Linked DNA regions of Rattus norvegicus. The protein of the gene in region 2 binds, or shares a complex with, the protein of the main gene of each other region. Links are inferred from orthologs where the notes say so. Each region holds a gene or a part of one and is shown on either strand. Other genes may lie near its edges. The genes, in order: Asb7 and Lzts1.

Region 1 (12,325 bases), on a different chromosome or scaffold from region 2:
ACGCAGTGTTGCCCTCTTAAGAGCTATGACGCAAGGTACACTCTCAGTCATCAGGGGGCACTGCTACCCACCTAGCCACCTGCTAGGCTGTGACTTGCTGAAGCCTTTTACTACTGTGGCTGTGCTGAAAGCAGGGCCTGGCATACATTCAGTGCTTAGCAGCATCTTCTGAGTATGAGTGAATGTTTTACCAGGAGCCAAATGGCCACCTTACACACCTTGGCGTCCTGTCACACACGGAGAAAGAACACACAGAGGGAGAGAGTACAGAGTGCACAGTGAGCAAATCCACTTCTTCCAATTCTTTTCCTCATCTCCCTATTGGATGATTTGGAAAAGCAGCTATCACTAATTTAGGCAGCTTCTAATCCTAACTCAGCTTTTAAATTGCTTTTAAGGAAACGGTGAGTCTTGTCTCATGAGGTCAGGAAAAACCATTTTCCTGCTATTTGTTCTCTTCCTCACTAGGAGCAATCATGGCCATGGTTCTTCCTTCGGGGAACTTCATGTGAACAGGAGCTACAGACGCTGAACAGGATGCTAAAATCCCTCCCCATGCTTATGGCTGGCACTGCACTAAGGTCCAGGGAACAATATTACACGGGGGGAGAGCATCATACAGGACCCAGCAGCAGCATCTAACAGGAACGAAAATAAAGTTCTCACCTGACCTGCTCTAGCGGAAGCAGGTGGTTTCTCTGAGAAAGTGCCAAAGACTTAAAGGGGAAGCAGTCATATGCAAGGAAAAGTGGACCACGACGGAAGGGGCTTTACGATGACCTCTGGGGTTAAGCTTCTAAGCTCAGACAGCCCAACCAAGAAGGGAGAGGGGCTGCTGCATAGAGTTGTGGCTGCAGGGCTCAAAGGACCAGCTGCTGTGCTGAGTATGTGACAGACTGAGAATATTCTTTGCAGAGAAATAAGAAGTCCCTACTGGATTTAATTTCCATTTCTACTTAGAAGTGTCACATTATTTAGAGACCAGGTGGGGACAGGGCAATATAATGTGAAGAAGATCAATCCAGACTTGGTGAGGAAAGAGGTTTCCCCCCAAGGAGTGGGAAAAAGAAGAAGAGAAGAGACAGAAAGCTACCAAGAGAGGAAGAATGCAGAAGCTCAAGCAATAGGCCACATCTCAGGAGAGGACAAAAGTGGGTACACCGTCCGGAGACTCCTGCGCGGCACTCGTAGACTGCAGGGCCACTGGCAGATGTGCCTGGATATTACGTGGAGGATGTGCTATGCACTGACGCCTCAGCCTGACAGTGACGACCATGGCAGGAGTTTCCTTCTTACTTAACCTTTCCAAACTTGCTTTACAATTTGCCGTGAGAGGGATGAGGAGGCGCATTCTCCGAATCTCGTTTCAGTAGGGTAATGTTCTCACAGAACAACACAAACAGCACCACACTGGTCCTGCAGCACTGAATGAGAACTCGGAGGTGGAAGCACAATGTAAAAGCTGTGTATGTGACCCAGCAGTGCCCAGCCATGAGGAAAGAAGGGAAGTTTGGGCAACCTTTGTGGGGAAGAGCAATGATATTGTACATTCTCATGCACGAACACCAATTCTGGACAGACCGATGATTCAAGTACCACAAAATCTTGAGAAGAAGATGCAGGTGAGTAATGACCCTACACCATGAAGTGTTTACTAACCGAGATCCAACAGACACAAACCAGAAGGCAAAAGCAAGATAGAATGTGTCCAGTGTATGGTGAGAGCAATAGGAGGAACGTGGGAACGCTACAAGCTAGAAGAAAGGTTTCCACCCGGAGCTAACAAAGGTAGGCACCGGAGCAAGCCTCACCTGAACAAGGGAGGAAGACAAGGACAGGCTCAGACTTGCCACAGTTTGATATTCGGATGTCATCTTGGGAGGGGCAAGCACATCACACAAGGACGAGCCAGCCAGCTAGCAATACCCTGCTGAGAAGGGGGGGGGCATTGTCCCACCCAGTCCCAGGAGGGCACAAGAAGGAACTGTAGGTCTTGGAGGACAATGTATAGGCATCCATAAGTGCGGTCTGACTTGGCAGTGCTTCTAGGGGTTAAGGGAGAAACTCTGACAAGGGTGGGCTTTTGTTGTTGCTTTTTTTTTTTTTTTTTTAAGAAAGACCAGTCAAGGACTCTCCCTGCTATACTGGCCCTAGCAAAAAAATGCCAACAATTTCAAATGCCTCACAATGGAAGCTAAGTGCAAATCAATTGCACCCAACAAGTAGAATCTCAGGCTTAACTATGTCCTGATAAGGAATTATCTCAAGGAAGCTGTTAGGTGACAGAAGTCAGGACACTGACATAACATTAAACAGAGTAGTGGGCCGGCTAGAAAGAAGGGCTAGAAACCACTTAGGCCTCGGTGCACAAAAGTCAACAAAAGCCAGTTTCTGGAAGGAGAATCTGGTACTGAAGAACAGCTAGTGGCCACCTCCAGGCACTGACAATAGAATATTTACTCTGGGTTTTAAGCAGGTAGATTATGAACCACCTTCTCAAAAGTCTGCTGAGAAAATTTTATGCTTTCTAAAATACTAAAATGAACAAAGTTGAAAGAATATCCAAATGGTAACATATTTATTTGAGCAGCTACTCTACTGAAGATAACAGGGTAAGACTGAACGTATTTCTAACAAAACTCACTGAGGTTGCTTTCTGTAGTAGTAACGATTACTTTAGATACTAACTGTGGGACTGGGCACCCAACTCTACAAATGCACGAAATTGTGCAGTGTGGACTCAGGAATGGCAGAGTTCACTGAGTGCATGTACGCATACACACACACACACACACACACACACACACACAGACACACACACACACATACACACACACATAGACATACAGACACACACACACACGCACACACACACACACACACACACAGGCACGCACACACTTTTCTTAAAAGTTTTAAGGCTTGAACCTTAGGCTTCACGCAGGCTAGATACACAGTCTGCCACACAGCCGCCTTCTGCCCTTTAGGATGTAAATGATCATCACGGGGTGGGGGAGAGAGCGCTGCTTAGGACCTGTAGCCCGTAAGTCAACTGTGACCCTGCCGTGGACTGTCCCTCTCCCTTATCACTCACTAACATATACATAGACGTCAGACTGGAGCATAGCCACAGCTGTGACATGTTTTCTATGACTGCTCACACACTACAACTGATAGGACAAAAATACGTCATAAAGTTGAGTGAAAAACAGCTGTGGCAGAACAGTTGTGTCATATGTAGACTAAAAACTACATGAAGCACAATTTCTACAAGTGTGCTAGAAGTATCCAGAGGACTAAGCACCCAGGGTCACTCAGGCCCAGGGACCATTCTGAGTAGGGGCAGGCAAGACCTGTGCAGGTCCAATGGGATTTGATGTCGGTCGGAAACTTATCTAAAGATGTGCTTTGTTTTAAGGTGATAATACTCATGTGTCTGGACTCTGTCTATAGCTAATGTCTTAGGGCACATTAGTCCTATTTGAGGCCACTGGGACACATGATTACTCTTGGGCTTGGATTTAGCCTTATCTTGGAGTCAGACTCTGATGGTAGCCTTAGCATTCATACAGTCCCATAACTCACACAGCCTTTCTGAGGGCTGTGGAACTGCTAACGCCTTCTGTACTTTAGAAGGCAAGCAAGTCTTGTAGCAAAGTACACTCCTAGAATGAAACAAATAACTGCTGATGAGCAATCCAGGGCCTAGAGTGGCCCAGACAAGCTGTTCTACACCCTACTACAATGTAGACAGAAGTGATATCTACACACACACACACACACACACACACACACCTCATAGGAACACGCACAATCCCCCTCCCATCTTCAGGGCAAGAATGAAATTGAAATTCACTGGCGAGAGGAGTCAATTGAGAAGATTAGTGTCAAAGTCTTATAGAAATGTCTAGTTTTCTGAAGCAGACACATAAAATGGCAAATGCGGTCACCAACCAAGTCTGTCTACAGAATCAGAGCTCAGATAAGAGCAGCCTTTTTGCATATGTAGACACACTGTAAGTTCTAGAAAAGTCAGGATATCCAAAAGAACAACAAGAAGAAAAGGAAGTAAGAAGGAAAGGTTAAGGAAGGTATGAAGGATAGGAAAAGTCAAAAATGTTTAAAGGGACCTATGCTAGGCTCCTCTGCTTAAGCAATTTCCAAAAAGGGAAACCTGGGCAGCTCCCCCACGGCAGACACCACAACTACTTCTGCTTCTGACACCCAAGGGCAACTGGCCCCAATAAGGGCTCTCAGTTGAAGTAACCTGGGGTTGCCTGACAATCTGCAGAAACTACATGTGCCAGAGTAAAACCCACTCAACAACTCAAAAAACTTAGTGTTTTGTTGTCAAACATCTTTGCAAAGAGGAGCAGATAAGACACTGAACAGCAATGCAAGCGAACCATTAAAATCCACGTGCAAACAAACGTGCACAAGTGCGTTTTCCACAAACGCCATTACAATTTTCTCCTCGCATCCAGTGAACTCACCTCCGTGTTCCAGAAACACTCGAACACACCTCTCCTTTCCTCTTGCTGCAGAGAAATGGAGCAAGGTCCAGCCATTGGCATCTCGGCCATTTGGGGAATAGCCTTGTTCCAACATCTTTCGTACTGTGTGAACATCCCCGGCCGCCACTGCAGCCTGAATCTGCAATTCTTCCTGGAGCTCAGGGTTCCTCCGGCAGTGGTGGTGTAACATCCTAGCAGAGTCTGCTTTTCACCAACCAGACATTAGGTCACGGGAGGCAGCCTTTCGGGAAGGGAGAGCACATGCAATTTAGAATCTGTCTCTCTTCACACTGTGCTCACTGACCACCACACAACTATTCGCTCCCTAAATCAGTATAGACATGGAGAGCAGCTCAACAAGACTGGCTAGCAGGCATCTGCTTAGACCTAAATTTCCCATAGCTGCATTAAGGCTATAAATTAATTGAAAGAGAAAGCGGGGCAGAAAACACCCACTTAACAGAAAAATCTTTTCTGCAGTCTTTTTGAAAACTTGAAACTCCATTGGTCACGACAGCTCTCTCCTGGTAAAGTGGACGGTGGTCTCAGGACGCTAAGATGGCTGCAGTAGGACCAGTCTTAGGAAGTCTGACTTACACGATGCACCACCCCGACGGAAGTTACAAACTACTCAAGGATTTTATCACAGTCTGAGTCAATAAATATGGAATAGCAAAAAACAGCCCATTAAAGCCTGGAGGAGGAACTGAAAAGGAGGGGCTGTCTCTAGGCCAAGTCTCTGACCCAATCCACATCAGCATCTTATTTTTAATACAAGGTAATAAAGCCTGGGGGGTAGCAGCTGAGCGAAGGAACTGGATAAAATAGATTATATTCACACATGTGCGTGTGTTTCTCAGTTTTCCTACCTCGGCTACCTGATCACGATGTTTGTCTTCTCTTCCCTGTCATATTCTTTTAAAACATTTTTTTCTAATTTCAGTACCAGAAGTTTTATTTCATAAATACTCAAAATAGCATGCTAAGCAACCTGTGGATTGACCACATGATGAAATTACGTCAATGAACACTAATGCTAAGGACCCCACATCTTCTGCAGGTCATGGAGAAGTGTGTCCTCAAACCCAGCAGACAAGAAGCTTGTCCATGCACACAGGGAAGCCCAAAGTAACATGGCTACTTCTCATGTGGGGGTACAAGCCTGTCTGCATACTTTGAAGCATTTGAGATAGACAGAGAAAGCCAGACTGACAAGATCTTAGGAAGACATTCCAAATGGGCTGCTTTGTCAGAAGCAATTAGACGAATCTCCTGGTTGGTAACCTCCATTTCTATAAGTAAATTTGCTTGAAAGAAAAAAAAAGTGATAAAGTCCTTTGAAGATATTCTGTTCTCATATGTAGGTTAGACATCCAAGGATAATTTTGCAACTAATACTTTTTCTTACAAAATTTCTCATCATGAACTAGAGAACACAAGAAAAGTAAGCCTAGCTTGGTGGAGCCAAAACAGGCTGGGAACACAAACATCTGATGTGCTTTTACATATAATAATGACATCACTATAGTCTCAGCGATATCGCCCAGTGATATAATTTAAAAATATCAAGCTATTACCTCAAATAGCTGTTTCCTCAGAGAAAATTGGAAAATGAGAAATTTCTTGATAATTTGTTCTCTTAATAAGCAAGTTTCCTTTTGATTCTTCACTTAATTACTTCCTTGAAATTCAGTCTCTTGGCTTAGAAATTTAACATAAAAAAAATACCTTTCAGAATGGGTTTCATGTTAGTTTCAGTGCTATAAGAGACTATAACAAAACTTACCAGCACACATTAATGGAACCCCTTCCTGTCCACTCAGACCATCATCTTTAGCAGAACGCTTCTGAAGCTCTGATTTATTTTACTATTCTTTTTGAGTCAGTCTTATTTAGCTCTGCCTGGCCTCCCAACTTCCTATGTAGCCTAGGTTGGCCTTGAGCTCTTGATCCTCCCATCTCTAGCTACCAAGTGTTGAGTCACAGGTACATGTCGCCATGTTGGCTCAGAGTGAGTTCTGTGGATAGTGTAAGTGTGGAGATACACTAAGGCGCCCTCCTCTATAGCTCTCCCTTACTCTTTTAGAGAGAGTCCCTCACTGAACCTCGGCTTTACCATTTCTGCTAGACAGGCTAGATAAGCCGTTATGATCCTCCTTGTCACTGCACTCTGGTGCTGGGGTGACAAGTGTATATCCCATGGAATCCCATGGAAGTTTTCATTCCTGACTTTTCCCTGAGTAGATGGGGATCTAAACTCAATCTTCATGCCTGTGCTAAAGCACTTTACCCACTAAGCCTTTCCCAGGCCCCACAGGTGTGTTTAATAGAAAATTATCTTGGCACCTAGAGAGGTCTCCTCTATAGGAAAAAGACTGAAACAACATCAAAAGAAACCTAGGTTTTTCTTTCAGTGCCTGCTACATTAGTTTATTCTTTAAATCACTATTTTGCCCATTCTTTTCTGTGCAAGTCTATTCTATTAGACTAGGGACTGAACTCAGAGCCTGAAGCCTGCTAAATGCACTCTATTACTAAGCTATAGCCCCAACCAACTCATTAACAGATTTCAAGAAGAAAAATAAAAGTTAAACAGGATTTTCCTCAAAATAGCCTAGGAGGCTGATGATCCTGGGTCATCTTACCTTATAGAAGAATGTCTCTTCTCTCGGTGGACAGGTTGTCTAATAACCATGGCGTGCATGCAGCATGGTAGGAAGGGTTCCCAGTGTACCCCGGCCTCAGGGGAGTAGTCTTCTTCACCTACAAACAAACCAATCACAATCATGGGCTTTCCTAAAGTAAGAGAGAAAGCACCGCTGTCTGCAGTCTACTCTCTGATTATACTTTCTGATGACTTTATGTTTCAGGAGTTTACAACAAACTGACAGAAGAACTCAGAGAAGGTTTTGGAGCACATGATCTTGTTGCTTACAACAATCTCTAGACACAATCAAGTATGATTTATTTAAGAGTCTGTGCTGCCCCCACCCCAAGCTTCTTAAAAAACAGTAAATAAAGAAAATAACAAATCCCACATTTGGAATTTGGCTACAAGCTAAGAATCTTGTCTTTTCTGCTGAGAATATCTCTCAGGCCTGCTTCCTTTACTTTTTAAGGATACCATCAGTCACCTGCTCTTTTTAAAGAGAACTAAAAGGGGAAAAAAATGTGTGCATTCAACACAGCAGCTGCCAGGGGCCAAGTGTAAAGTAGGTGAGTAAATGGGGCTTATGCCTTTGAATGGTGGCTCTTCCTATGCCTTCCAGGCACCCAGTAAAAACATTTACTTACACACAACAAGCTAGTTAAAACATTAACTAGCCAGAGGTTTTACTACCTTCTCTACTGAATTCTTAAAGAACAAAACAATAAAAACCCCACAATATCACAAGGAAATCACTCTAGCAATTAACCTACTGGGAGATCCGACACCCTTTCTGGAGGTGGGGGGCCGAGCCTTTAGAAGTTAAAGGTTCAGACATGGAAATGGACAGGCCATCTGATGAGCTGACCTGTGCAGGGCAAGAGGGGCAACAGGGGCTGATGGCTGTGCAAGGGGACATTAGAATGGTTCCCATCTGCCTTTTCTGCACTTGATGTTTTATTTTCCCCTTTCTGAAGCCTTTAAGATAGGCAAAGATGTTGGCCTGCACACAGAACTGAAGTCTGAGTGCAAACTGTGCCTATTATTTTCAAATAAATGGAGTAGACACGGTCAGAACAACTCCTTCAAAGCCAAGTATAAATACCACAGAAGAAACCTTGCAGAAACTAAGACTGAGGCAGGAAGTCTACAGCATGAACCTGGAGCATCTTATAGTGCCTGAAGGCAAGGAAGTGCTCAAAGAAAGCCACAGCCACAGGCACAAAGGAGCCAACTTCAGAGCTCTCAAGGACCAGAGACCACTGATCACTTCTCTCCATAATGGCATGCGTCTACATGCAAGAGTAAACAGCATCATGTGGTACCCAGCACTAAGCCCACCAGGTTCCTGGCTGGGGTCACACAGACCATCCTGGGTAAAACCATTGTGGGGAAGAACCTGGCAGGCAGGAGCAGGGAGGGCAGTAAGAGTTAAACAGAAGACAAAATATACAGGTATGAAGTTGTCAAAAACAAATTTAGTTTCTAAAAATGAAAACCAAATCAAACACCTTACTTCTAAGTGTGTCTTCAGTATTCTCTGCCTCCCTAGGGTCATGAAAATGTCCCAATGTGGCTTCAAGCCATTAAGAGTCCTTGCAGACTTCCAGTGGTCTCCAAATGCCTATCACCACTTCCACAGAGACTGCTGGGCATGACAGAGAGGAGACACGAGAGGTGGGACTGAAGGAAGCATGAAACAGTATGTACTAATACTTGTACTAGGCAGTGTGTTAAGAGATAAAAGGATCAAATTAATTCTCCAATGCAAGAAAGGTAATAATGTAACAGTTCCCCCGTAAGTGACTTTAATAGAACAAGGAGATAGCCCCTAAGTGCCTAATGTGTGCGCAGCACAGCTCACAGCTTCCTAGAAGACAGTCTTGTACATTTAAAATAACATTTAAAAATATTTCTAATTTTTTAAAAAAAAATTTTGTTTATATCTGAGTGCCTACATTTTAAGTAGGTGCACACATGAGTGTGGTGCTAGAGGACACCAGAAGAAGGTTTCGGATCCTCTGGTACTGGAGTTACAGACAGTTGTGTGTAACCCTGTGGGTGCTGAGAACTGAACTAGGTCCTCTGCAAGAGAAAGACATTTCTCTGACAGCTTCTTAAAAATGACACTTTTAAGGATATGAGATATTTTAGGATTTTTTTTCCTCTTCTGATAATACCAAGGACTTATAGATAATCATAGATTTTTTTTAAGTGCACAGTCACTCCTTGCATGCATGTGCTACAACAGCATCATTGAGGAAACACACATGTGTATGCCCTATACACTTAATCTCTGTTGTCTGCACCATTGTAAATTATACAGGGCAATGATTAAAATGCCCCAAAGTCCAAGGTATCAGACTAGAAGTGACTTTCCTCTTGGTGTCACTTAGAGACATATAAAATAAAGAGGAAAAAAGGCACCATGGTCCTTAAGGACAAACACAACCTCAGCAGCCAAGATACCTATTAAGAAAAAAACAAGAAAAGCCACTGATGGGAAAGAAAGAGCCTGGTTTCCTGCAGGGAATGCAAGTTCAAAAACCAGGACTCTTGACAAAGGAGAAATGTCCTAAACAATACACAATCGATGGAAAGTTCTCTTAAATTAATGATGGGTGGAGAATCTAGCAATTACTGATACCAGACCCACTAGAAATTACATTCTGGGTTTTAGTCAGAAAAAAAGTAAATAATAAACAAAGATGGAAGACTTTAGAGGTGTAAAAATGACTCATTTCCCAAATGTGTCTCGTTTTCTTAAGTGGTCTTAGTTCTTAATACAATGCTTACATTTTGCCAAATTATTTTCTCCACTGTACTAAAGTCAAAAGATAACAACCAAGGTCTCCAAAATACACTTGACCACATTGGATAGCATTGCCTAATTTCTTTTCAAATGAAATCTATTCAGTTATGCCCCAAATTTCCTTAATATAGTTTAAAAAAAAACTATATTGAGATAATAGACTGAAGGTACCCATAAATGAAGGTATGCTTAAAATTTGCCCAAGAATACATAACCTTCAACAAGTCTGACCTCTTTTCAATTTCCTTTAGCACAAGACTAGCTATTATTGACTTCTGTATATTATTTTCTTCCCTGTAGGTTTTGTTTCGTTGGGCCTTTGAAGCAGTGCAAACTGGCGGGCAACCAGAGATCCTCCTGCCTCAGCCTCCCAAGTGTTAAGATTGCAGGCTTGCTGCCTAATTCTGCAACTTTTCCCAAGTAACACAAAGGAGAATTGTTTCCTGGTCTCAAACCAACAAGAAAAAAGGTAACGGTTCCACAAGAAACAAGGTAACGGTTCCACAAGAAACAAGGAAACGATTCCTGGCTCAAGACAAGAGCATTTGTTTGCAGAGGAGACCAGGAAAGGAAAAGAAAATCGCAACTTTGAAGACATTTCCTCCGAAGAAAAAAAAAAAACTAAAAATTTACCAATGGCTCACAAGCCCCCAGAGCGAACCCAGATACAGAAAAATACAGTGCCCAATCACAATATATAACATGGCCAACAGGCCTGCTGGGCTCCACTTACACAATCAAGAGCCTTACACCCTAAATAAGGAGGGTATTATTTTAGTATCACCCAACATACCATAGTGTCCATGTCCCTAAGGAAGGATATCATATTTCCTCCAAATGACTGGACCTCTATGTGACACAAAAATTTATTATCATGTAAAACTATGAATCACATAAATTCTAGCAGAAAACCTAGTGATTTTCCCAAAATGTGGATGAGGTGAGATGAGTTGAGGTGAGGTGAAGTGACCAAGAAAAGTTTAGAATCATTTATGTAGCCCCAACTCCAAGCTTAAACCACAGGTATTAGAAAAGCTTTGTCAATAATGTCCTGTTAACGCAGGCATGCCAAGTCAAAGTTAGCAGCCTCAGACTAGTGCCTCAGAAGTTTCCAAGAACATTACATTGAGGGAATGTATTGAGGTGAAAATGAAAAGACAGAAGGTCAGGTTTCAGATAGGCAAACTGTATCTGACTCTATTTACCCATCTCAAGAATGGTATTACTAAGGCTAGATGTTGACACACTAAAGACTGCACATACATACTCAAGTCTGTGCACGTGTATAAACACACAGGAACAAAATAAGACATTATATATTTAGCTTATATACAATGTACACATATAACTAACTGAATCACACATCATTTTCAGTATAAAGGACAGAAGTAGTCATAATATACTAAAGACCTAGCTAGCACTGACTAGCACCAATTATTCTCCCTTTGTGATATGAATTTGGTTTTGGTTACTAAATAATCAGGTAAACGCCCTCCCAGATATAGAAATACAAACTATTGAGCTGGTCCTGATTAAGTAAATGTAAAAACTAAAGAAAACGTTAAATGTTAAATAACATTCTCAACTATGTTAATTATTACAACTTCCCCACTCCGCCTCTCTCTGGGGGTGGGGGGGTGGGGGGTGGGCATACATCTCTCGCTATCTTAGGAAACCCGCTGTCAGCTGAGCAGATCCATGTACTCTGACTTAAACGGCAACAATAACCTGGCTGGGAACCAAGACAGAGCAATGTTCTGTCTTTACAAGTCTGACTAGCGATCCTCATTTACAACCTCAGGTAAAAAGAGCCCTCACTTAGGAACACTAGCAAATTAGGTTCACTCTAAAGCAGAAAAATACTCTCTACCCCACCAAGAAGATACAAGATATATACTGCATTCTATCTCTGAAATACAATCCAAATATTTTATTACCAATTTTTAAAAAGTTATACAGTAACCAGAAGGCATCATATTGCTGAGTTCCATATTTAACCACTGAGTCACCTCTCTAGCCCTGAGTTCTGTATTTAAATAATAACAACCACTCTTCAACTTGAGATTTTGCCTTGATATATAAAATTATATATATATATATTTTTTTTCCTCCATAGTACTGTCACTGGTGAATATTAGGAGTTTTTTTCTTTTCTTTTCATTTTGTTTTTTAAAACTGTGTCTTCCTCTGTAGCCAGCCCAGGTTGGCTTCAAATTCTCCATCTTCCTGCCTCAGGGTCCCCATTCCTCAGGCTAGAAAGTATAGCAATTACATACAGTAAGGCATAGTGGCGCAGGCCTTTGATCCCAGCACTGAGGAGGCAGAGGCAGGCAGATCTGAGTTCAAGGCTAT
Region 2 (12,325 bases):
TCTCCACTGAGGGGCACTGTGGCCTGTTCTATGGCGTCTGAGGAGAACTCAGGTCCTAGGGAAATCTCTGGTCCAGCCTGGCTTTCCCTTGGACATCTCTCTTACCTGAGACACAGCCCAAGCTGGAGCCAGCGACGAGAGGATCAGCAAGTGTCTCTCAGAGGAGTGATGCCGATCCCCTGAAAACGTTATCATGCTAAAGTTCAAGTGTGCCGAGAGAGGACAAAATCGAGCAAGGAGGTACCCCGTGGGAGTCTGACACTACAAGGCCCTTCCTTGAGGTGATGCTAGCTGCCGTTCTTCCTTCAGAGAGCAGCCACAGTCTGGAACCAGACACCTCTGGAAAGCAGTGTGGAGCTGAGAGACGAGGTGTGGCAGACTACTTGTCTGCCCTGAACCTGCACACCTGAGGCCCTGTTCAGTCACTGTTCCATCTAGCCGTCCAACATGGGCATGGGCCACAAACAGTGAGGATGCTTTAGGACAGGAGAGGAAAGAAAGCCCACACGAAGGCAAGGTTATTAGGTTACAGCACAGTTGCGTCTTGGAGCTACCTTGGGACCTCAGGCTGACAGCAGTCTTGGGAAGGCATCTGCCATCTTAAAGGGTAAGCAGTCCCCAGGCAGAGGTCTCAACGATGACCTCGGCAGGACTACTGGGCAGAACCCCTGTGAACAGAAGGCACCCTGCACAGAGAGAGCACAGGTCTGCCCAGGCCTAGTGTCTGCTTCTGGGCAAGGACTCCATAGCATAGCACTGGACTTCTGGACTTCTCTCAGAGGAAGGAGTCCTTCAATCTAGAGAGAGGCAGGAAACCCCCATCTTTCTTTCTGTCTGTTGGACAGTCTCAATGGGAAGGACTCAGACAAGGCACAGACTGGTACACAACTGAGAACTGAGGGCTATGGACTCTTTAAACTGGGCTGTGACCTGTGTTCAGTGGAGTGTACGACCGTGCAAGTTGGGGGAGTCGTCTTTGGCCTGTAGATTCCAGATTTAAGTGAGCATGTGACTCTGGGCAGTGGTAGACCAGAGAATAGTGTGCTGTTGAAAGTCAGTAGTAGGAGAGGGCCAATCTAACCGCAGGGACAGAAAGTAGTACCACGTACAGGGGAGGCACCTAGCCTGCAGATACAAGGAAGGGAAGAAAGCCCACGGGAAGACAAGGTCACTAGGGCTGGGATCCACCTTAAGGACCAGCATTAGGGAGGTAGAACTCAGGTTGGTTCCTGGACTACCAAGCACACAGACCCTCCCTTACATCTCCAATATCCTGGGTCCCGCCCACCAGGCAAACACATGGCTCAGGAATCCAGCAAGGGCTGGGTGTCCTACCAACAACAGCTGTGGTAAGGGCCAAAAATAGAATATGGAGCAGCTTGGCTGCCTGCTTGATCTGGCTTGCTTTGGAAAACACAGAATGGAAGTGGGAAGGAGAGAGAAGATAATTCCTTCAACCCAGCAACTGCACTTCCCTCTGCCCCTAGATCTGGCTATCTTCAAAAGACAAGGCCAGGCTCCCACAAGCTCACATGCTGCTTTCTAGACTGAATTCTTACAGCCTGGGGTGCTGCCACACGGAGGGAGGAAAGTGGGTGGTTTGGGATATTTATAAGGCTCTTTTTATGCACCCTGTATCTCTCCTGCCTGGACGGCAGCCTATCAGCACACTGACAATGCTATAAGGGAAAGAGAAGCTGCTGACTTGGGCCACAGACAAGGGAGGCTAATGTCCAGCTCCCATGCACACTATCTAAGTGGATGGGCTATTTTGGATCTGAGCCAGCGTCTAGTGTTCTGGAAAGAAAAAACATTCAATATTGGAGGCTGAGGAGGATCCCCTGGCACAGCTGAGAATCTATGTCTCATGTCAGTTCCCTGTACCCCACCTGGGACCCCCAATGTCTATGGCTTTAAACAGAGTGACCACTGAGGTCAAAGGGGCTATGCAGCTCATTTTAGACTCCACTCCCCATCTGCCTTGGTTCTCTCCTTTCAACTCCCACCGGACCTCTTGAGACCTGCAAAGGTTCCGTAATGGCGGACTGTCCATCTACCCCTTCCTCCCATGACTTGCTGGCTCAACTACGTGGCGACACAACCCCTCCACCACCACAGTCAGAGCAGAACAGGCTGTAGTGAAGACGAGGTCCAAGGCTTCTGGTTACACATGGCTTCTTTCTATTCCCAAAGGCATCCCAAGATGCCCAGGGGATGGTGGGGGTTTAGGGACAACAGGGAAAATGTTTCTGTCCTTGGGTGGCCATTTGGCCTGTATGGCAGTTGCCCCCTTTCCTGATGGGGTGTCTTTCTCACTACTTTGAATGAGACCAAAGTCAAGAGAAACCTCAACCAGCACATAAAGCTCCCTGAGCATACCTCTAGGAGAGCTTGGGGTTCGCAGATCAAGGTCTTATAAGCAGCAGGGTTAGTTAGGCTGAGAAAGGCAGGAGGGGAGGAAAGGCTATGTGGTAACCCCTACCCACCACTGGGGACTCCTGAATCTGGATCCCAGAGGTGGCTTCTCTCAGAGGGGCTCTTGGGACAGGCTCAGTCCTCCCTGCTTTCTGGGGTCTAGTCCCCAGCCCTCCATCCCCGAGGTAGCCCCTCAGATCTCAGTGGCTATGATATCCTCATAGGGAATGTCAGCTCCCTCCAGGTCAATTTCAAAGGGCTCCCCTGCAATATCCCCACGGGCCAGCTGCTGCAGGGCCTTCTCTAGACGCTGGTTGCGCTGGTACATGGCCAAGTAGCTCTGTTGCAGCTGCTTTTGGTACTGGATCACTTTCTCCTTCTCTTCCTTCCACACCAACCGCTCATGCTGGAATCCCGAGGACATCTGGTCATGGCCTTGCCTCTCCTCCTTCAGCTCAGCCCGCAGCCGATCCAGCTCCCGCTGCAGAGCAGGGATGTCCTCTGAGAAAGTCAGCCCAATCCCTGGAGGGCCCAGGGGTGCTGCATCTCGATGCAGGGCCGCCTGGGCCCGCAGCTCCAGCAGCTCCTGTTCTAAAAGGTTCACCTTCTCTCTCAGCAGCTCTGCCTCATTCTTCTTGCGCTGCAGTTCATTCTCACAGACCTCCAGCTCTAGCCCCTTGGTGCGCAAGGCGCTCTCCAAGTCCTGTGTCTTCAACTCCATTCCCTCAAGCTTGCCCCGGGTGTCCTTCAGCTGTGCCTTCAGGCTAAGGATCTCACTGGCCTTAGCATTCACCTCCATTTGGGATTCTTTGAGCTGTTGCTTCAGAAGAGAGATCTCACCTGACTTCTGGCACACCTGCCAAGGGTGGGGTGAGAAAGGGTGAGAATCAGTGCCAGAAGTGATTGGCATTATCCTAACTGAGATGACATCACCACTTCCTAAAGGGTTCAGGCTACTCCTGACAAGACACCTCAAACAGTTCTTTTGCATGTAAACAATCTATGCATTTCCAAGTGTCTACCTCATCTCCAGTTCAGGTTCTACACTCCAGTCTGTGCTCATACCCAAGGTTATATGCAACTCAACAATCACCTGCTTACTCTAGCCAATGCTCCGAGCTCTATCACCTACCTTTAACACCAGGGATACTGGCTTCAGGGAGCCAACACCCAATCCTCACCACTGCATTCATCTCTGGGGGAAGGACCATTTCACCTTGTCCTGCTATACCCCCAAAGCTAGCCATACAACCTGGCCCACACATGTCCTGTATCCATCTGCCAAACAATGAACTGCAGTCTTCCTCCCTTTCTGGCTTCTCCGCCATTTGAACACCCATTGGCCATCAAAGTTGGGCCAAGAGCACATTTGAGTCAGATCACCGTGTCTCTGGGGCCTTGGTACTTTGAGGTCATAAGCATTAGTTGGGGTCATGATATGGTTAGGAGTGGCAGTACACGCCAGCCTATCCATATCAAGGCTGTCTCAGGTACTTCCTCCCACTTCTGACTAAAAAAGAAAGAAAGCATAAAAGAAAAAGTTTTTTTAAAAAGTACACGCTTAGTATATGCATGAAGCCTTGGGTTTGATCCCCACCATAAATCAAAAGAGAGGAGGAGGAGGAAGAGGAAGAAGAGGAAGAGGAGGAGGAGAGGAGGAGGAAGGAGGAGGAGGAAGAAGAGGAGGAGGAAGAGGAAGAAGAGGAAGAGGAGGAGGAAGGAGGAGGAGGAAGAAGAGGAGGAGGAAGAGGAGGAGGAGGAAGAGGAAGAAGAGGAAGAAGAGGAAGAGGAGGAGGAAGAGGAAGAGGAGGAAAGGAAGAGGAAGAAGAGGAGGAGGAAGAGGAAGAGGAGGAGGAAGAGGAGGAGGAGGAGGAAAGACCAGGGCCTTGGCACTACACAATGGACCCTTAGCATAAAACCCTGTATTTCTCCTTTATTTCCTCTCCCAGTAAAGTTCCCCCTTTACTTCTAATGTAGAGGAGAACACTTAGCCTCACCACCATGCATAGCTAGAGCCCAGAACTTTTTGACACGGCCAAGTACAGACCTTGAATGTCTCTCAAAGCGCAGATGTTAAAGTTTTTCAGTGTGTTAACCCTGAGAGTGAGGGGTAGTGGAACCTCTAAGACGTTAGGCATGGTAGAAAGTGTTTAGGTCAATGGCTCTTGAAGGGGACTGTCAGACTCTGGACCCTTATTTGTTTTCACCTTGCTTCCTGGCCATGAGGTGACACTTGCATGGCCACATGCTCCCATGTGATATGTTACTTCATCACAGGCCCAAAGCAGCAGGGTCTGTTAGACAATTTGATCATGAAGTGAACCCTCTAATTTTGTGAGGCAGAATAAGCTCTTGCTGTAAACTGCATATCTTGTGCATTTTGTTACAACGACCAAACAAAGACAACTTGAGTAACACACCAAGCCTACATTAGTTTGATAGAGGGAGTTAGGACAGAGTCACATTAAAGCACAGGCTTTGAATCCAGATCGAATCGCTTATGAACCAAGCAACACAGGCACACATTGACATGGAGACAGCAAGCAGTTACAAATGTGAACTCTGGGATGGGGATGGTAAAATGGCTCGTGAGACAAACATATTTGTCTCCAACCCTGATGAATTCTATCCCTGAGACCCACGTGGTGGAAAGTAAGAACCAACTTTGTAACGTTGACCTCTGACCTCCACATTTGGGCTGTAGCAAGCATATGCCCCCTCCCCCAATAAATAATAACAATGTGAACGCCTGATCCATGTGCTTGCAGTTGACTCTTAGAATCTATCGTTTATCAGATGCTAGCCAAGTCACTTCACCAGCGACCACAGATAATCCGTGTGTCAGTTTCTTTAAAGACGACAGGAGCCGGATGTAGATCGCTCCTGAGAGACACAGCCAGAATACAGCAAATACAGAGGCGAATACCAGCAGCAAACCACTGAACTGAGAATAGGACCCCCGTTGAAGGAATCAGAGAAAGAACTGGAAGAGCTTGAAGGGGCTCGAGACCCCATATGTACAACAATGCCAAGCAACCAGAGCTTCCAGGGACTAAGCCACTACCTAAAGACTATACATGGACTGACCCTGGACTCTGACCTCATAGGTAGCAATGAATATCCTAGTAAGAGCACCAGTGGAAGGGGAAGCCCTGGGTCCTGCTAAGACTGAACCCCCAGTGAACTAGACTGTTGGGGGGAGGGGGACAATGGGGGGAGGGTGGGGAGGGGAACACCGATAAGAAAGGGGAGGGGGGAGGGGGATGTTTGCCCGGAAACTGGGAAAGGGAATAACACTCGAAATGTATATAAGAAATACTCAAGTTAATAAAAAAAAAAAAAGATAAAAAAAAAAAGATGAATTGAAAAACTGTAACACTCCTACGTCTCAATATGGTTATAAGGATTAGATAGAAGAACATAGCATTTTCTAAAGTCTCTAAGCTAAACGGGTTTATAACAATATTTCTGTGAGGATGTATAACTCTTTCCTTATTGTTGTTTTGCTAAGTATACTGATTAGCCAAGGTGGGAACAAGATCATGGCAGTCCGTGGCTTAGTTTCAGACAGGGCCATGAGGATGAACGACAAAAGCCAACACTCACTACTTGTCTCTGAAATACACAAAGGTTCTTTTCTTCACCTGTCTTGTGACTACTTGTCATGGCACAGGGTGAGGACAGGAAGCTCTGAGCAGTCAGGGCTGTGGTGCTCACAGTAAGCCAAATGCCATCCAGACCTGATGCTAATCGATATAAATAGAACGATTGTCATCTTTCCCTACGGAGAAGTCTCTGGAGTGAATGACAGCAGCACTAATGAACACATACCTGGGCCATGGGAGTGTGAGTGTGTGTGTGTGTGTGTGTGTGTGTGTGTGTGTGTGCACACGCATGCTACTCAGGGAAAAAAGGCTGCTGTCCTACTAGCAGGGTACATATGAGACCCTGACTGCTCTCCAGCTAGGCCAGACTCACATGACTCATTCCAAAGTGACTGAAGGAAATACATCAGCGATGGCGTGCTTTTCTAGAACATGGGAGGTCCTAGGCCTAACCCCTAGTACCAAACAAAACAAAACAATAAAACCTGTCCCCAAAGAATGACTGTGTGTTTGTCCTTTTTCTTCCTCCCCTGTGTTTAAATCTCAGCCAACCAAGTAGAATTTCCACTTATGCCTCAGCAAGGAAGGGCAATTCCATCACTGAGACCTACCACTAATGATATAGTTAGGACTCTTTCCCCCAAAGCATCAAATAGGCCTAATCCTTCTCCCAGGTCCTCAGATCAGACAAACACAGGCGTTTCTCATAAGTGAGGTCAGCCCTTAGGCAGCCTGGCTGAGCCTCCCTTGTCTGGGTTTGGCTTTCCTACCAAAGACGGGGCTACTGAGGGCCATGAGATGATGAGATGATGGAATGAGCAAGAAACACAGATCTGACTCAGAGCATCCCCACACTATCCACTCAGCATTCTCTTCCTTGGTCATAAAGCTGTCTCTCTAGCGGCATTGGCCTGAGGCACTTCGTGTTGATACTGCCTTGCCAGCAAGGATGGGGAGGATATCAGTAAAGCCGTGGCAGGGTGGCGGGACTTTACCTCCCATTGGGTCGGACTAGTGGGGTCTTACCTCCCATTGGGTCTCCTCCAGTGCAGGGGCGAAGTTGGTTTTCTCCCGCTCGTAGGACCTCAGCTTGGTCTCCAGCAGGTCCTGCTCCTTCATTAGGCTCTCTAGCTCCTGCCTCAGCTGCCGTTTCTCCTGCTGCAACTGTAACACCTGCAGCTGGAGTACCTGCTGGGTGCGCTGGCTCTTCTGGGAGGCTGGCTTCAGCTTGCTCTTAGGTTCCAGGCACTCCAGTTCGTCTCTAGTCCGCCGTGGCCGCTCCTCGAAGGTCTGGCCAGAGGCAAACTCCTTCTCATCGAAACTGCGCTGTAGCTTCTGTAGTGCAGTCTCCCGCTGCAGCAGCTTCTGCTCCAGCTCCTGAATGGTGCACTCATCCGTGGAGAGTGGGGAACGCACACAGGAGGAGCCCTTTTCTACCTTGCCTGGGTGAGCCAGCTTGCTGCCCCCATCAGAGAATGACAGAGCCTTCAGGCTCATCATATTACTGTCCTGAAGGATGATGCCTTGTGTGATGTTGTGAGCTGAACCCCCAAAACGGCTAGTAGGCCCCACGGGGGTGACCAGAGGATCCAGCTGGTAGCTGCTGGTGGTGCTATGCGTGGGCAGGCTAGACATGGAGTTCCGGCCCGAGTCAGACAGTGCCCCTGAGCACAGGCCTGGCTTCAGCTCCTGTTCCTTGGGCTTATCTGGAGGCATGGGATGAAGCTGGTGGTTGGTACTCTCAGGTGAAGAGTGGAGAATGGCTCCTGACCGTGGCAACACAGGCTTGAAGGCAGTGGGCCTCACCGCCGCCTTGTCTGAACTCTGGGGAAGCAAAGGACCACACAGATTTGAGCGTCTCTTCCACACCCACCCACTTTTCTCACTGTGGGTGCACTCTCACGAGCCTACCTGAGCATGGAGCCCGAGTGAAACCCTTCTTGGTTGATAGCAAACCTTGTCAGTTGCTCTGGACTGGCTGAGAATAGACCAAGTTTCTGTGTACATGTGAGTATGGGTGTATATACATGTGTGTGTATACACATGCCACAGAATACACATGGGGATGAGAACAACTTACAGGAGTCCTCTCCTTCCACCATGTGGAGTCAGGTCGCCCGTCTTTCCTGCTTGGCGGCAAGCCCTCGACTGCTGAGCCGTTTCACCGACCTCACTACGCCATTCTTCGAAAGGCTGTGAGGGAGCTGGAGGCAGTGGTGCAGAGTACTAGCTGCTCTCCCAGAGGACCGAGGTGTTATTCTCCACACTCACGTGGTGGCACACAACCATTTTGTAACTCCCGTTCCAGGGGATCTGACACACTCTTCTGGCACACACGCATACATGCAGGCAAAACACTCATAAAATAAAAGTAAACAAATCGTTTTAAGAAGAAGGAGGAGGAGGAGGGGGAGGAGGAAGAGGAGGAGGAGATGATGGTGACAGTGACAAAACTCTTAAGGCTGGACATAATGGCACACCCCCTTACGGGCATGTAACTTGAGAGGCAGAGGTAGGTAGATTTCTGTGAGTTCCATGCCACCTTGGTCTATATCATGAGTTCCAGGAAGCCAGGGCTACGTAGTGAGACCCTGTCTCAAATACACACACACACACACACACACACACACACACACACACACACACACACACACCCTCTGTACCTAAGAAAGCCTTCAGTGGTGGCCGAGGCACTGTGTTAGTAACCATCACTGCCATCTGGACCCAGCCCTCTAGGGAGGTTAGATGGGGACTCAGGTACAGTGCAGCAAGGACAGCAGACTGTATATGCTCATCACTTTCTTGCACTCTGCCTCTTCTACTGAGCCTAGGTCAAGGCTATAAACCGCTAACTGCTTCTAGTTCAGACGATTTGGAATAGCAACCCCGAAACTTGCAATTTCCCTCAGTAGACAACCGTGCCTTCACAAGGCCTTTGTTTAGAGAACTTTGCACAAACACAGGCACCTTTCTTATTCTAGGTTGAGCATTCCTGGTCCTAAAAATCTCAGATCTGAAACTCTGCAGAATCCGCAAGTGTTTGAGTCCAGACAAGATGCTAAGAGTGGAAAAATCCACATATTAGAGGATTTTGTTTTGTGCATAAATTATTTAAAACATTGTATAATCATTGTCTGCCTTTGTGAGTCAGGTATACACAAAGCATAAATGATTGTTGTTATTAGAGATCTCATTATGCCTGTGCAAATATTTTATAATCTAAAAGACAACAACTCTGAGACCTCTGGCACTCCCGTTCCCAAGCATTTCCGGTAAGTGGTGTTTAACCTGTGCTTTAAAGCCATTGACTTTGCCCCGGAGTGAGCATGGAGACTGAATGGGAGAACTGTTTCCAACGTGCAGTAGCAGCGAGGCTTCAGAGCCCTGAACTGTTGGAGGAGCTAGATTTCTGAACACTGGGAGCATCCTTTGTGGGCATCCTTCCTCATTTCATAGGAACGAAACCCTGGAACCCTTCTCTAGCCAAGGGGACTAGAAACCACAGGTAGGGCACGGGAAAATGCGTACTTCCGCAAGGCTCCCAGAGAGCACCCTCATCTTCCTGTCCAGTCTTCCAGGCGAAAACAGAGCCTCTCTTCCTCCATGGCCTGTGAACTTGCTGGCCTTTGGCCTACCTGAACCATGCCTGTTATGTCCCAGTAGAGCTCAGAAAGGCTTGAACTTCCCCTCTGCCCTTTGCTGCAGGATAAACCTAAGATTTCCGGTTTAGGGATAGACTTTTGACTGCTGCAGTGAGGTCAAATACTTCTGCTCTCACCAGTGCTGATCAGGCCTCTTGGAGATCAAGACACTTGGGCATCAGGGTATTCAACCCTACTGCCTCTCCTCCTGTTGTAACTCCCCTCCCCTTTTCTACCCAAGTACCTTTGTCAAGAGCCTCACCATTTCCAGTTGACTGGAGAAGGGCATGAGCTTTGGTGGAGTGGCTGGATCAAAATCTACTCCAGTCTGGCCCCCCATGTCCCCACTGGACAGTGCTGTGTAGTCTGGGCGATGGGAGCCTCGGGCCTTCTGGCTGACTTTGATGTAGAAGAAGTCTTCGCTTTTCCCCATTTTGGAGCTGGACTTGCCACGGCCCGAGTCCTGGGAGAAGCCAAACCTCAGAAGCCCATCTGAGTACCGGTTGAGCTTCTTGAGGTGGGAGGATTTGCGCAGTTTGTACTGGGAAGCACGACAGTGCTTGCTGTGGAGACTGTGGCCTGAGATAAGGCTGCTCACACTGCCCATGGTGACGAGGAACCAAGGGCCTGCAGGGCACAAGAGGGGCCTGGAGACAGCAGCGAAATGTAGTCCTGGCTCAGCCAGGGGACTGTGGTCAGAGCAAAAGCTTCTCAGAGCCCGAGAGAGCCATGGACCTGGGAAGAGACACAGAGAGAGTCATAGATCTAGGCATGGCACTGTCACTGTGATGATTTCAGGAGTGCTATGCCTGTCATGAAACCTGGGTGGTAACGAGGTGTACGTCAAATGCTAGCCCTGCCTCTTCTATGAGTCTATTATCATTCTGATGACCTAGGCACATGTACTGTGCATACAGTGGAAACCGGGATATTACATATGATTGTGGGACTCATTTGTAGTGTTATATGGATAGACAGCCCAAACCTATTCTACAGGACCCATTTAACCCATGTTAAGGGGTCAGGATGCTTAAGGGGAGAGCTTGAGAAGGGAGGACACAGTTTTGTATACCCAGGAAGTGCCAGAGTTTAGATGCACCCCTCAGTATTTAAATATTAGAAACTCAATCTCCAATGCCACATGGTTGTGGTATTTGGGAATGTGATTTGAACTCCCTGGGATTAGGTGAAATCTTGATGCTGGGGGCCTAAAGATGACATTAGTGGCTCTGTAAGGGAAAGGAACTCCAGGCGTGATAGCACAGAACTATTAATCCCAGCACTTGAAAGGTAGAGACAGGAGAATGGAGAGTTCAGGCCTAACCTGTGTGTCAAATTAAAGATGTGGGAAGAACCTAGGCCTCATCATAGTAAGAATCTGTCTTCAGTTGTGTTCGCAGCCTTTGCTGCACTGCCGCCGCTCGTTAATGCCAGTGCCGCCTCTCACTTGTTGAACTCCAGTCGAGGAAGGGGGGTAAGTAAGGAGGTGCTCATACCATGGCTCATACAGAGCAGACTGCCCGCAAATCCACTGGTGGTAAGGCAACCAGGAAAGAACTGGCACAAAAGCACCTCGTAAGAAGGTGCCCTCTACTGGAGGGGTGAAGAAACCTCATCATTATAGGCCTGGTACTGTGGCACTCCATGAAATCCGACGCCATCAGAAATCTACTGAACTTCTAATTTGCAGGCTCCCTTTCAGCGTCTGGTTCCAGAAATTGCTCAGGACTTAAACAGACCTGCCCTTCCACAGTGTGGCTATTGGTGCCTTGCAGGAGGCAAGTGAGGCCTATGTGGTTGGCCTTTTGAAGATAGCACCTGTGTGCTATCCATGCCAAACATGTACCAATTATGCCAAAAGAAATCTAGCTAGCACGCCGCATACTCGGAGAACGTGCTTAAGAGTCCACTATGAGGGGAAACATTTCATTCTCAAAAAAAATTTTTCCCTCTTCTTCCTGTTATCAGTAGTTCTGAATGTTAGATATTTTTTCCATGGGGTCAAAGGTACCTAAGTCCATGACTGCGAGTGGAAACCTAGGGGACAGAATCAGGGATCGGTACTTTCTCCATGTTCACTTGTGTGTGGATTTTTAACATAAATGCAAGATGTAAGGCACTAATGCAAGCAAAATGTTTCAGTGAACACACTTCAACAGTTCATCTTTATGACAATTATAAATAAACCTGGTAAAAATTTCTGGACAATGCCAGCATTTGGATTTTTTAAAAATAAGTAAATTTCTTATTGTCGACAACTAAATGGTGTTCGTAGCATTTTATCAGACAGTAGATTCCATTCATTCATTAGACTTTTCTAACAGCGTTGTCCTACATGCAAGTACACGTTTTTAATGGTGTCTGTGTTCCTGTAAGTTTGCTATTAAAACACATTAACCTGTCTTCTTAGAAAAGGAGAAAAGGAATGAGGAGGAGGGGGAGCAGGAGCACAGGAGCAGGAAAGAGACACAACTGGACCCTTGCTCTATCTGGAATGTGCACCCTGTATATCCCACCCTGGGGGGGAAACCTCAAAAAACACCCCTCTTGACAGCAAGAAAGATTTGATCAAATGTGAATGCTCTACCCTTCTTGAACTTTTTAGGCTTCAGACTGTGAGCTGAATATGTCTATATGCTTTATAAATGATCCTGTTCATGGCTC

The links.
Region 1: the proteins of Lzts1 (region 2) and Asb7 are in contact, whole or in part, in a crystal structure (PDB 8Y1U), measured with the Homo sapiens proteins. The link is inferred for Rattus norvegicus from reciprocal best matches to the Homo sapiens genes LZTS1 and ASB7. Residues at the interface, in NP_001349813.1 of Homo sapiens: Arg346, Glu348, Leu349, Leu352, Met353, Glu355, Gln356, Leu358, Leu359, Glu360, Lys362, Leu363, Arg364, Ser365, Tyr366; in NP_937886.1 of Homo sapiens: Asn46, Trp48, Ala56, Ile79, Phe82, Tyr87, Met90, His91, Asp116, Trp118, Val123, His126, Tyr127, Ser147, Lys149, Thr151, Gln155, Leu156, Ile159, Arg160, Phe182, Arg185, Tyr186, Ile189, Lys190, Arg210, Leu220, Leu223.

Annotation. Positions count from the first base shown.
Region 1 is NC_086019.1:129,663,025-129,675,349, forward strand, and holds part of Asb7 (ankyrin repeat and SOCS box protein 7), read right to left. Parts: intron 7,278-12,325; 5' UTR 7,160-7,277; intron 6,216-7,159; exon of another isoform or gene 6,092-6,215; intron 4,756-6,091; 5' UTR 4,705-4,755; coding exon 4,494-4,704; intron 1-4,493. UniProt on the Homo sapiens protein: Probable substrate-recognition component of a SCF-like ECS (Elongin-Cullin-SOCS-box protein) E3 ubiquitin-protein ligase complex which mediates the ubiquitination and subsequent proteasomal degradation of target proteins.
Region 2 is NC_086034.1:25,352,383-25,364,707, reverse strand, and holds part of Lzts1 (leucine zipper putative tumor suppressor 1), read right to left. Parts: intron 10,397-12,325; 5' UTR 10,269-10,396; coding exon 9,924-10,268; intron 7,845-9,923; coding exon 7,047-7,844; intron 3,272-7,046; coding exon 2,609-3,271; 3' UTR 1-2,608. UniProt on the Homo sapiens protein: Involved in the regulation of cell growth. May stabilize the active CDC2-cyclin B1 complex and thereby contribute to the regulation of the cell cycle and the prevention of uncontrolled cell proliferation. May act as a tumor suppressor.